2 linked regions of the Caenorhabditis elegans genome follow. The protein of the gene in region 1 purifies or fractionates together with the protein of each later gene. This does not show direct contact. Each region holds a gene or a part of one and is shown on either strand. Other genes may lie near its edges.

Region 1 (4,275 bases):
AATTCAGTAGTTTTGGTGCTCCAAAAAACATTAAAAATATCAAATTTTTCCGAGTTTGTTAAGCACGGCAAATTTGCCGAATTTGCCGTGCTCGGCAAATATTGAAAAAAAGAGATTTGCCGAATTTGCCGAGCTCGGCAAATTTTGAAAAACCAGCAATTGCCGATTTGCCGAGCTCGGCAATTTTTTCCATTTGCCGCACACCCCTGTTCTGAAACCACTCAAATATCGGGTTCAAATTTTTTGAACTTGGTTCAGGACATGAATGGACTTTCAGTAAATACAATTTGTTTCCAGATTCCAGCTGATATTTGGGATTTTCTTCCGTCTCTTTCATCCTTGGATATTTCAAATAATCCAATTGATTGTGATTGTGCAACTATTCGATTGCTTAGCGGGGATGATGTCGTATTTCTAAATCAGGTATTTTCCATTTTTGTTTCCGAAATTCCAATATTATATGCTAAAAAAAACAATTTTCAGGCTGATACAAAATGTGCATCTCCACCAGAATTGGAAGGCAAACGCATTTTTGAACTATCGAGAGACTATTGCAAAACTACAAGGAATCCACGTGGGAAAGCATCATTCTTCCAGTTTCTCGTTCTTTTTGTGATTGCTGTTGGAAGCGAGTTTTTATTTTAAAGGAATTTTAAGATGTCTTAAAATTTCAAAATACAAAAAACCAAATTGTGTACCTAAACAATCCAAACCTACAAACCTACAAAATCCTTTAAATTTCTCTAAGAATTCTGATTTTTCGAAAATTTGGAAATTTGCCAAAAAAGCTTTTCGGAGGAAGTGCTGAAGTTTCCTTCCGGAAATTGTACAAAATGGTTTTTTTTGTTAAAATTTGGTGATAGAACATAGAAAAATTATTTTATCTGAAAATAGCTTTTATTGGAAGAGTTGAAAAAAATGCTAAATTGCCTGAAAGTAGGAAAATGAAAGAAAATATGTCGATATTTTGTCGAATTTATCTCGGCGATTGACAACCTTCAGACAATTTTGAGAACTTTTACAAATGCTCCAACTAAAATAAAAGTTATTTTTTGATAAAACAAATATTACTGTTAAATCATGAATTTTCAGTTCTATGGCTCTACAAGAAGTACCGTGAACGCACAAGACATATGAGTTCAGTTCCAGTTGGATACACGAACTTACAGCATGAACAAGCTGTTGAACCGGAATTTGTGTAGGGAATTCCAAAACAAATTCATTTATCTTTTTATTTTTGGTTTTTTTTTAATTTTCAGCCAGCCATAATTCTTTCAAATATTTCTGATAATATTTGAAATTTCATAATTTTAAAATCTGTTCATTTTATACGGGATACTTGCTTCTTTTTTTGTGAATAAAATGATCTTCTTCTAGATATTCTTGTTGACTCATAGATGAGTCATGTGTATAGAGGGATCTGATTGAAAGCCAATCGCCGGCATTACCAATTTCCAAATGGGCAAAGTAGTACACACTTGGCATTTGGCGACGAATTCTTGCCCAAGTTTGGGCATTGGGGGAAATCTTGGGCAAGGAGATTTTTGGCCACGCCAACATTTAGCCCTAGGTTTATCGAACTCTTGCTATACCAATTGGTCTAGTTTCGTACTGAGAACTGTTCCAAAACTGTTATTATTCTAGATATGGTATAACTTTGTGTAATAAACGCCTAATTGGTAAAGTGAGATGCACATTTTGGTATCGTTTCAGAGGACTAACAATTCGAATTCTTGATCGGTTTTTTAATTTTTAGATTCCACGGTGAACATTTCCTGGAGATCACCGGAGAGAATAAAAAAAATAAAAAAGGGACAGCTGTTTTTTCAACGATTATTATTACTGTGAATTGAAGATTTTGAAATTCGAGAGCAAAATTGCAGATAACATATGTAATTTCAACTTTATCAAGGTATTAAAATTCGAAGTTCAGTTGAAATGTACATGAGACTTCTATATTCAAATAGAAAAAAATTTTTTTTTTCCAGAAACTCAATTCAGAAAGTCAAAAACTGCAGGTGTCAATGATATATGGTGATTCGAATGCCAAATGTCACATTGAAAAATCTAATTGAACTTTGAGGTGTTGCATTTATATGAGTTCATGAGTAATTTTAACGAGTGTTGCCTGGATTTGTTGCTAGACTATTCACCTATAAGTTTCTGAAAAGAAAATTGAATTTCATGCAGAACTGAGCAAATTATATGCGATTTAGTCAAGGCCCCCCAATTTTGGCATCATTTGCCATTCGGAGGTGAACAAGGGGCGGGATATGTGTCCCGACAGGGTGGTAGAGGATGAGTATAAAAGGGTGGCGCTCGCGCATCATTCACTATCACTTTTCAAGTGTTTGTTCATCGTTTAACAATGTCCGACGTCGCCGTTGCCGAGACTCCAGCAGTCAAGACCCCAACCAAAGCTTCAAAAGCCACGAAGGCCAAGGCTACCAAGATTCCGAAGGTGAAGGTCGTTGCCGCCCATCCGCCATTCATCAACATGATCACCGAAGCCGTCAGCAACCTCAAGGACCGCAAGGGATCATCCAGGGTCGCCATTTTCAAGTTCATCACTGCCAAATACACGCTTGGAGATCAAGTTAACAAGGTAAATATGCATTTTATTTTAAAGAGAGTGGTTTTGAATCGATTTTTCCAAAAAATATATAAACCTGATTTTTGAACAATTCTTCCAAAACGTTGACAATATTAATAGATTTTCCCCTGAAAATTAAACCAACCTTCACTAAATGCATCTTAATTCCAGACCAACGCTCACCTTCGCTCTGCACTTAAAAAAGGAGTCGTCAGCAAGGTCCTCGTCCAGACTAACGGAATCGGAGCCAACGGACGATTCCGTCTTGCCGTTGCCGAGAAGCCACCAGCAGTGAAGAAGGCTGCCACTGGAGAGCAAAAGGTTATGAAGACCGTCGCCAAGAAGGCTGTCAGCGGAGACAAGGCTAAGAAAACTGTCGCCAAAAAGACCGGAGACAAGGTGAAGAAGGTCAAGTCACCGAAGAGGATCGCTAAGCCAGCTGTCAAGAAGGTCACTAAGAAAGCCGCCGCTCCAACGAAGTCTGCTGCCAATGAAACCGCTCCAAAGAAGGCTGCTGCCACTGAAGCCGCTCCAAAGAAGGCTGCTGTCACGAAAGCTGCTACAAAGAAGACTCCTGCCAGGAAGGCCGTTGGTACTGCCCCAAAAGCCTAATAACACTGTGTGAAATTCAAATTTAATTCGATCTCACCATTGTAATATACCTCCTCCTTGAAGGTGTCCCGGGTACCGGTTTTTTCTTCCCATTTAATCATAATTTGTTCCATTTTAACAAATATACCTTCCAATAAACCATTAATAGATTCTATTGTTCTCTTTTTTTTTTCAGAAAATAGATTTCCAAGACAGTGCTCTCAGCGAGAATAAATTGAAATCTTCATTTAGCAACATTTTGTATTTCGTCACTTTTAGTGAACATTAAAAAGTTAACATCTGTATTTAGTGATCAAAAGGTGCTATTAATTAATTATAATTTGGGATCACCATATGCAGTAACGGATTATTTGCAATTTTCTCAAGTTGCTTCACGAATATCTCTTTCTCACTTGACTGGTGTTTCGGTGGGATATATTTTGTGTGTGTGTGTGTGGAAGTGGTGTCTATGTACACGTTATCAACCACAACATTTGCTATTTTCACTCGTTGTCATACTGGCGGTCTTTCTCTCTCAATAATATCTTTTCGAAACTTTCTTCGTGTGATATCTGACCGACAGGAGGAGCACGCCTGCTCAATTCACCAACTTATTTAATGGGAAAGGACTCTTTCACACAAATAAAATGACATGGAGATGGGATGTAGAACAATTGAAGAAACCGATTAATGGTTCATTACATCGGTCATGTCAAAGCAAGTTTGTGCCTGATTCAACAGTGAATTTCAAATGAGCTCTCGAAGACTCTTGAACTGTGATCTTCCTACAGTGAAAATGACGCGGTCAGTTTTGCCAAATTTTAATTAACTTTCATTTCTTTATAGCCAAGGGGAAGCATTTGGTAATTGGTAGTTTTGAAAAACTCGGATAATTATACATATGGAAATGGAAACATTAATTGGCAAGACTGGCATGGTGTACGGTAGGTTCAGAAAGAGTTCTGGAGGAGAGGTGAATATAAGAGAAGTACCCTTTTTTAGTTAACAAAAACACCATTTTTTCAGTGGTGGCTGGATGAAGAGACCAGTATTACCAAAAGCCTGGACTTGAGTACAGCTTTTATGGAACT
Region 2 (5,456 bases), on another chromosome or scaffold:
CTCCAGCAGCAGCACCAGCAGAAACGAAATCTCTTTTTTCTCGATCATTTCTAAACTCGCGGAAAAGTCCGAAATCGATTCCAAGGGAATAACTTTTTCCCTGTGATATCCCAGCTCCTACAGCAGCTCCAGAATGGATCATAGGACCTTCTTTTCCAGCACAAAGACCACCGCCAACCGAACATGCAACTCCAACTGCTTTTGAAACGAGCGTTTTGAGACGAACAACCTGGAAAAAACGAAAGTTTCAGAAATTTTTGAGCTGGAAATGACACCTCAGGAATCGCAATTCCGTTAAGATAACACTTTATTTGAGGAATTCCAGAACCTCCAGCAATCGGAGCTACATAAATCACAAGGATTGCAGCTATAGTTACGAGAACACAATTATATCCTATCCAAGCTATCATTACGGTCCACATACACCCTGCAGTCGTTCCACGTTGCTCTTCGCCACACTTTGAGAGCACTGAATGTTTCGTTTTCAATAGATTAGTTAGATAAGTATAACTGACAATATTTGAGAATCCAGTTAAATTTGATATCTTTACTGTAGTGTACCATAATATCAATAAATGCAGCGACGAGTCCAGTGAAAACTCCAATCAAAAAGCATACAAACCAACGATTTCGAGAAATTCGCCAAAGAGTTAACTGAAAAGTGACATTGTTACTGTATCTATGAAATCTCAAAACCTGGTGAGATGGTTTCTTTTCAGCATCTCTATAGAGTCGATTCTCAGATATTTCATAGTTCAGACTTTCGTATCTAGCAGACAATGCTTCATGGCTATCCGTTCGACCAACATCATCCAATTGCCTTGAGAATAACAGCTCTTCCTCCTGAAATAACTTGATTTTCAGAAAAAATTGCTGGTTTTTGCCCGCACTAGTCGTCTTCTTTGCCGAGCAACGTGTTCTAGATTCGAGTTTGACATGACTCGTTCTAGCCCCGACACAGGATCTTCATTTGGATCCAGACTGAAAAATATTATTTCCGAGAAGTCAAGTGATATTTAGTCTCTTACCTATTAGAACTTGTTCGCACCCTGTTACGGGATGTCATCTGAAATGTTGAAATAAATCCAACTGAACTTATTGTAGACATAAGAGAAGTAACTAATTTCGATAGACACGCAACATGTTTATTGTTGGATGTGAATAGAATGAGTATGGCGGAGTATTTTATTAAACATGGTGTTTATGGAAGAAGGAATTATAAATTTATAAAATGAAGCAAGGTGTGTAGACAACTACGCAGCTTCTGAGTATCCTTGATTGTGTACGAGTTGATGAAATTAGAAGGCACGGAATCCACGACCACGAGAGTTGACAACCTGATCAGTGACGTATTGGACTGGACGATATTGAACTGGCTGAACCTGAAAAACCAATATATTGGTCACCACAGATTCCTAAGATTTATGTTTCATAATATTAATCCAATTGGTGGCTAGTATTGTAAAACTCAATCATAATCTTTAATTCAATTCTAGCAAATAAAAGTTTGAATACTCACTTGACGAACAACATTGTTTCTCTGAACAGGTGGTCTTGCATTCACATATCTGACGCTTCTCACAACTTGCTGTTGTTGTGGCTGCTGCTGTCTCTGGAAGCGCGGGGGTTGTTGCTGGAAACGAGGTTGCTGTTGCTGGAAGCGTTGTGGCTGGCGTTGGAAACGTTGCTGAGCCACTGGAGTCTGGATTACTCTTTGCACGACCTGCTCATACTGAAAACGAACAATATAATTCTGACACTGGATACTGAATAATAATGAATTTTTACCTGTGGTCTTTGAACTTGAGCGCGTCTTGGAACTTGTTGAACGACTTGACGACGAATGACTGTTGGACGATTATTATTGTTGTTGTTTGTTGGACGGAATCTTCTCGATTGCTGTGATTGAATAATCACATTGCGTCTCTGCTGTGGACGGTTCTGACGAACTTGTTGTTGCGGTGCTCTACGAATCACTTGAGATTGCACAGGAGCAGTGATGATTTGGCGAACAACTTTGACTGGAGCTTGACGAACATGCTGTACGATAGTACGAACAGGAGCCGTTATTGGTCTCTGTTGGATGATTGTTCTCACAGGTTGAATCACTTGGGCAGCAGTGACATTTCGTTTCAATGCAAAATTTCGTCTGGCGGCAAGAGTTGAAGCAGCAACACCCTGAAATCATTTACCTTACCTCCGTGAAAGATTGGAAGAACTCTCGACACGCTGAAGAAGCTGAGGAGAAGTTGCTGTCTGTCTCTCCGGAAGGAACTTCACACAAATTGAGACCATCTGTTCTGATTTTTTGGCAGAAGCCTGGCTTTCTATCAGGTTTTCAATAGTGGATGATCGTATTTCCAACTATTCATCGCGGTTTCAAAAAACACGAAGAACGTCTAGGTTCTATCGCGACACGAGAGGAATAAATCAAACTCTCGACCTGATTTTTAGCCTTTTACTACAACGCTTAATGCGTGTGGTATCCAGATTTCACTTCAAGAATCCATTTTTCAAAGCTCGATATTCAACTATAGAACAAAATCTGGTAAAAACGTACTCCACGCTTACGAACGACTGGAACAGTCGTGATATTGGTTCTTTTGCGAAGGGCATTCTGTAATGTGATGGTTTATTAGAATGAATTATATAAACAAGATTTACCTTGACGAGCTTATTAACCAGCTTCTTGGTGGCAACAGCGCTCAATCCTGCAGCCGCAGCAGGTTTTCCACGGGCACCGAAAACGCGTTTTTGACCTCCAGCTGCACGACGAGCAGCAATTGCTTTCGATTTCTTCAAAACCTTGTTCGCCAAAACAACTTGAGCACTCTTTCTTGGTGGGACTCTGCGGTTGTTTCTTCCGGCATTTCCTGGGCGAGTCTATAAAAATTATTTATTCTTAAAAGTTGCTTATTTTATTTTAAAACTCACGGGTTTGTTTCCAGCTTTGTTGCTAGTAGATGCTCCTGCTGGTGCAGATACTCGCTCGGACTTCACTTTTTTCTGGCCATGCTTGATGATTTCATCCAGAGACATGTTGATTTTTTCAGCCATTTCGATGAACGATATGAAGAATGCGGATAAAACTGAAAATAAACTGTTTTTAGAAAGAAAAGAACAGACAATGAAAAATATAAGACGATATGAGTGTAACAAGATGGTGAATAGAATGAACGAAAATGTGAGAGAGAGAGTGAGGGGGAAAGAGAGTGAGAGAAGAAGAGCAGATGGGAAAGTCGCGTGGCAGAGTACGAACGGCAATTGCGGTTGCGGAGCGGTTATCGATTGATGACTCACAGCGTAGAAGAGCAATTATAACAAAACCAAATTATTCAGTGTTTGGCCTATACGTTGAAAAAAACAAATTCCCGTTTTAAATGCTGTTTCTTTTTTGAAAATAATAAAACTGATGATCGGTGAGCAAACAGATATTACTGCATAGCAGCAGAACCGACCGGTCTGAGTGTGCACTAGACAGCTGTTAATGTTTGCACTGATGTAAAAAAAATTAAAAAAAAAATCGATTTCGGTGGGCAAGGTGGAACATTCAAGTGGGTTTCATAGTGAGCAACGAGAGAATACATAGTTCGTATTGGGGAATTTCATAAATTTAAGGAAAAAACGGATTTTAATTCAATAAATGTCTGAAAAACAGTATTTATAAATATATTTATTCAGCAAAGAAAATCGTTTTTAAAATATCGGTACTTGTTTTTAAATCACGAGACTTCTTGGACGCAAACACCAGAAACGACGGCACATTGCAGACAGTATGCTTGAAGATTTCCTCTACAGTATCCGAGTACTGTAGAGTATATCTTGGTGTCAATTCGCCCATAAAACTGCCAACACACAATACCAAAAGAGGCTAATGACAGAAATTATGAAAACAATGAAAACGTTTGTGAATAAGGATGTGCACTTCTCGACGATCTGTGCTTTTCTGGCAATTTCAGAGTATTTCTCCCGAGAGAAGGCTGCCAATGTGAACGATGATGGGAAAATGAAGCATAACAATAGTTTTATGTGTGCACGTATTTCTCGAATCCATCCCAGGCTGCCATGGACGGAACTCGTGAGCTGTAACAAAAATTATCAAGTAACATGAAATCTCGCTATAGTAAAAGTATTATGTTTCAGAACTGTGTATTTATGTTTTCGTAGAATTTTGACACTTATCAATATAGAATCAAGAATCTTACTTACAAGATGAGCACCCGAAGAAATATAAAATGTAGAAATCTAACCGTTAAATTGACATCCCATTCCATTTGATTAATGATATTCGTCTCATTTGTTCTAACTTTTGAATACTCTTTGATAACATCTTCCAATTCATCTTCCTCATATTGATCCATAATTTCCTGCAACACAAGGCAATCCTCAAATCCACAATTGACACCTTGACCATTGAATGGAACCATTGCATGTGCTGCATCGCCCATCAATACCAATTTGTCGAAGAAGACGTGCTGTGAGCATTGAACACTTATAATTGCCTGCGGTTTGTTTCTGGCAATTGTGTTTCTGATGTGATCTCTAGAATAATATTCGTTCGAAAACAACAAGGAAAAATGAAGCCACTCACTCTCCAAGAATCTTGAAGATTTCATAAAAATTGTTCTTAAAAAACAAAACAGATTCTACGGGACCAACCAAATTAGACTCGAACTCTGAGAACGTGGCGAACATCGAAACTGAAAATTTTGACTTTAGATAGATATAATTCCAATATAAGTCTTACCAGTCAATGACTGATCTTTATTTACAATGGCAACAAGGATAATACCTCTTCTTCTCCAGGAATAATGTGTTCCCAATTTTAGATCACATTGTTGTGTAGAATTTACACTCAGATCAATATAACCGAATTCCGAATACTTTTGACTGAAATTGAAACCTGGAGCCTTGAGAAGGCTTCTTCTAATTGAAGAGTGTGCTCCATCACAAGCCAGAAACAGATCACCATCTACAGTACTCAAATTATCCGAATTCTGTACAATCAGAGATTCACTTTTCAAGTCAAATTTGGTTGCTTTACAATTGAAATGAAATCTGTAATTGTAAAATCTGTTTGCTTAATTAATTGTGATGTTGAACTCACTTAACATTATTATATTTTTCCGCTTCGTTGATCAATATTTGGCTCAGTTCTTGACGATTTATTGTGAGAATGAACTAAAATAGTTTAAATTAATTGTTTTCGATAAAAAATTCTCTATTAGCTCATTGACACTGTGCATTACATTTTGACACCTCATATTTCGGTTAATTTTCAGATATTACAAAATAAAAACGACGAAAATTCATAAATATAAGTTAAGCAATGATGTGTACTCTTGAACTTCTACTTACATCGTCATCATTGAGAACAGGTAGTCTCTTCAGTTTTCCTTTTGTGTCCCCAAAATGAGCAATTTGATCTCGAATTGGCACACCAATATGAATAACTT

What was found. Proteins that work in one complex are often made in the same cells at the same time.
Region 2: the proteins of hil-5 (region 1) and pqn-53 fractionate together in Caenorhabditis elegans (co-fractionation; one large-scale study listed by BioGRID). This does not show direct contact.

What each region holds. Positions count from the first base shown.
Region 1 is NC_003279.8:5,772,253-5,776,527, forward strand, and holds hil-5 (Histone H1.5), read left to right. Parts: upstream 1-2,332; 5' UTR 2,333-2,368; coding exon 2,369-2,605; intron 2,606-2,764; coding exon 2,765-3,205; 3' UTR 3,206-3,358; downstream 3,359-4,275. Other genes in the region: lron-8 (LRRCT domain-containing protein), read left to right, coding at 298-423, 484-628, 1,093-1,202. UniProt on the Caenorhabditis elegans protein: Histones H1 are necessary for the condensation of nucleosome chains into higher-order structures.
Region 2 is NC_003283.11:12,062,303-12,067,758, forward strand, and holds pqn-53 (Prion-like-(Q/N-rich)-domain-bearing protein), read right to left. Parts: upstream 3,090-5,456; 5' UTR 3,058-3,089; coding exon 2,935-3,057; intron 2,884-2,934; coding exon 2,665-2,883; intron 2,618-2,664; coding exon 2,561-2,617; exon of another isoform or gene 2,179-2,560; coding exon 1,789-2,178; intron 1,733-1,788; coding exon 1,520-1,732; intron 1,383-1,519; coding exon 1,299-1,382; 3' UTR 1,130-1,298; downstream 1-1,129. Other genes in the region: clh-6 (Chloride channel protein), read right to left, coding at 1-229, 276-469, 516-654, 697-843, 891-981, 1,029-1,066; kmo-2 (FAD-binding domain-containing protein), read right to left, coding at 3,829-4,083, 4,251-4,542, 4,592-4,700, 4,748-5,058, 5,108-5,181, 5,359-5,456.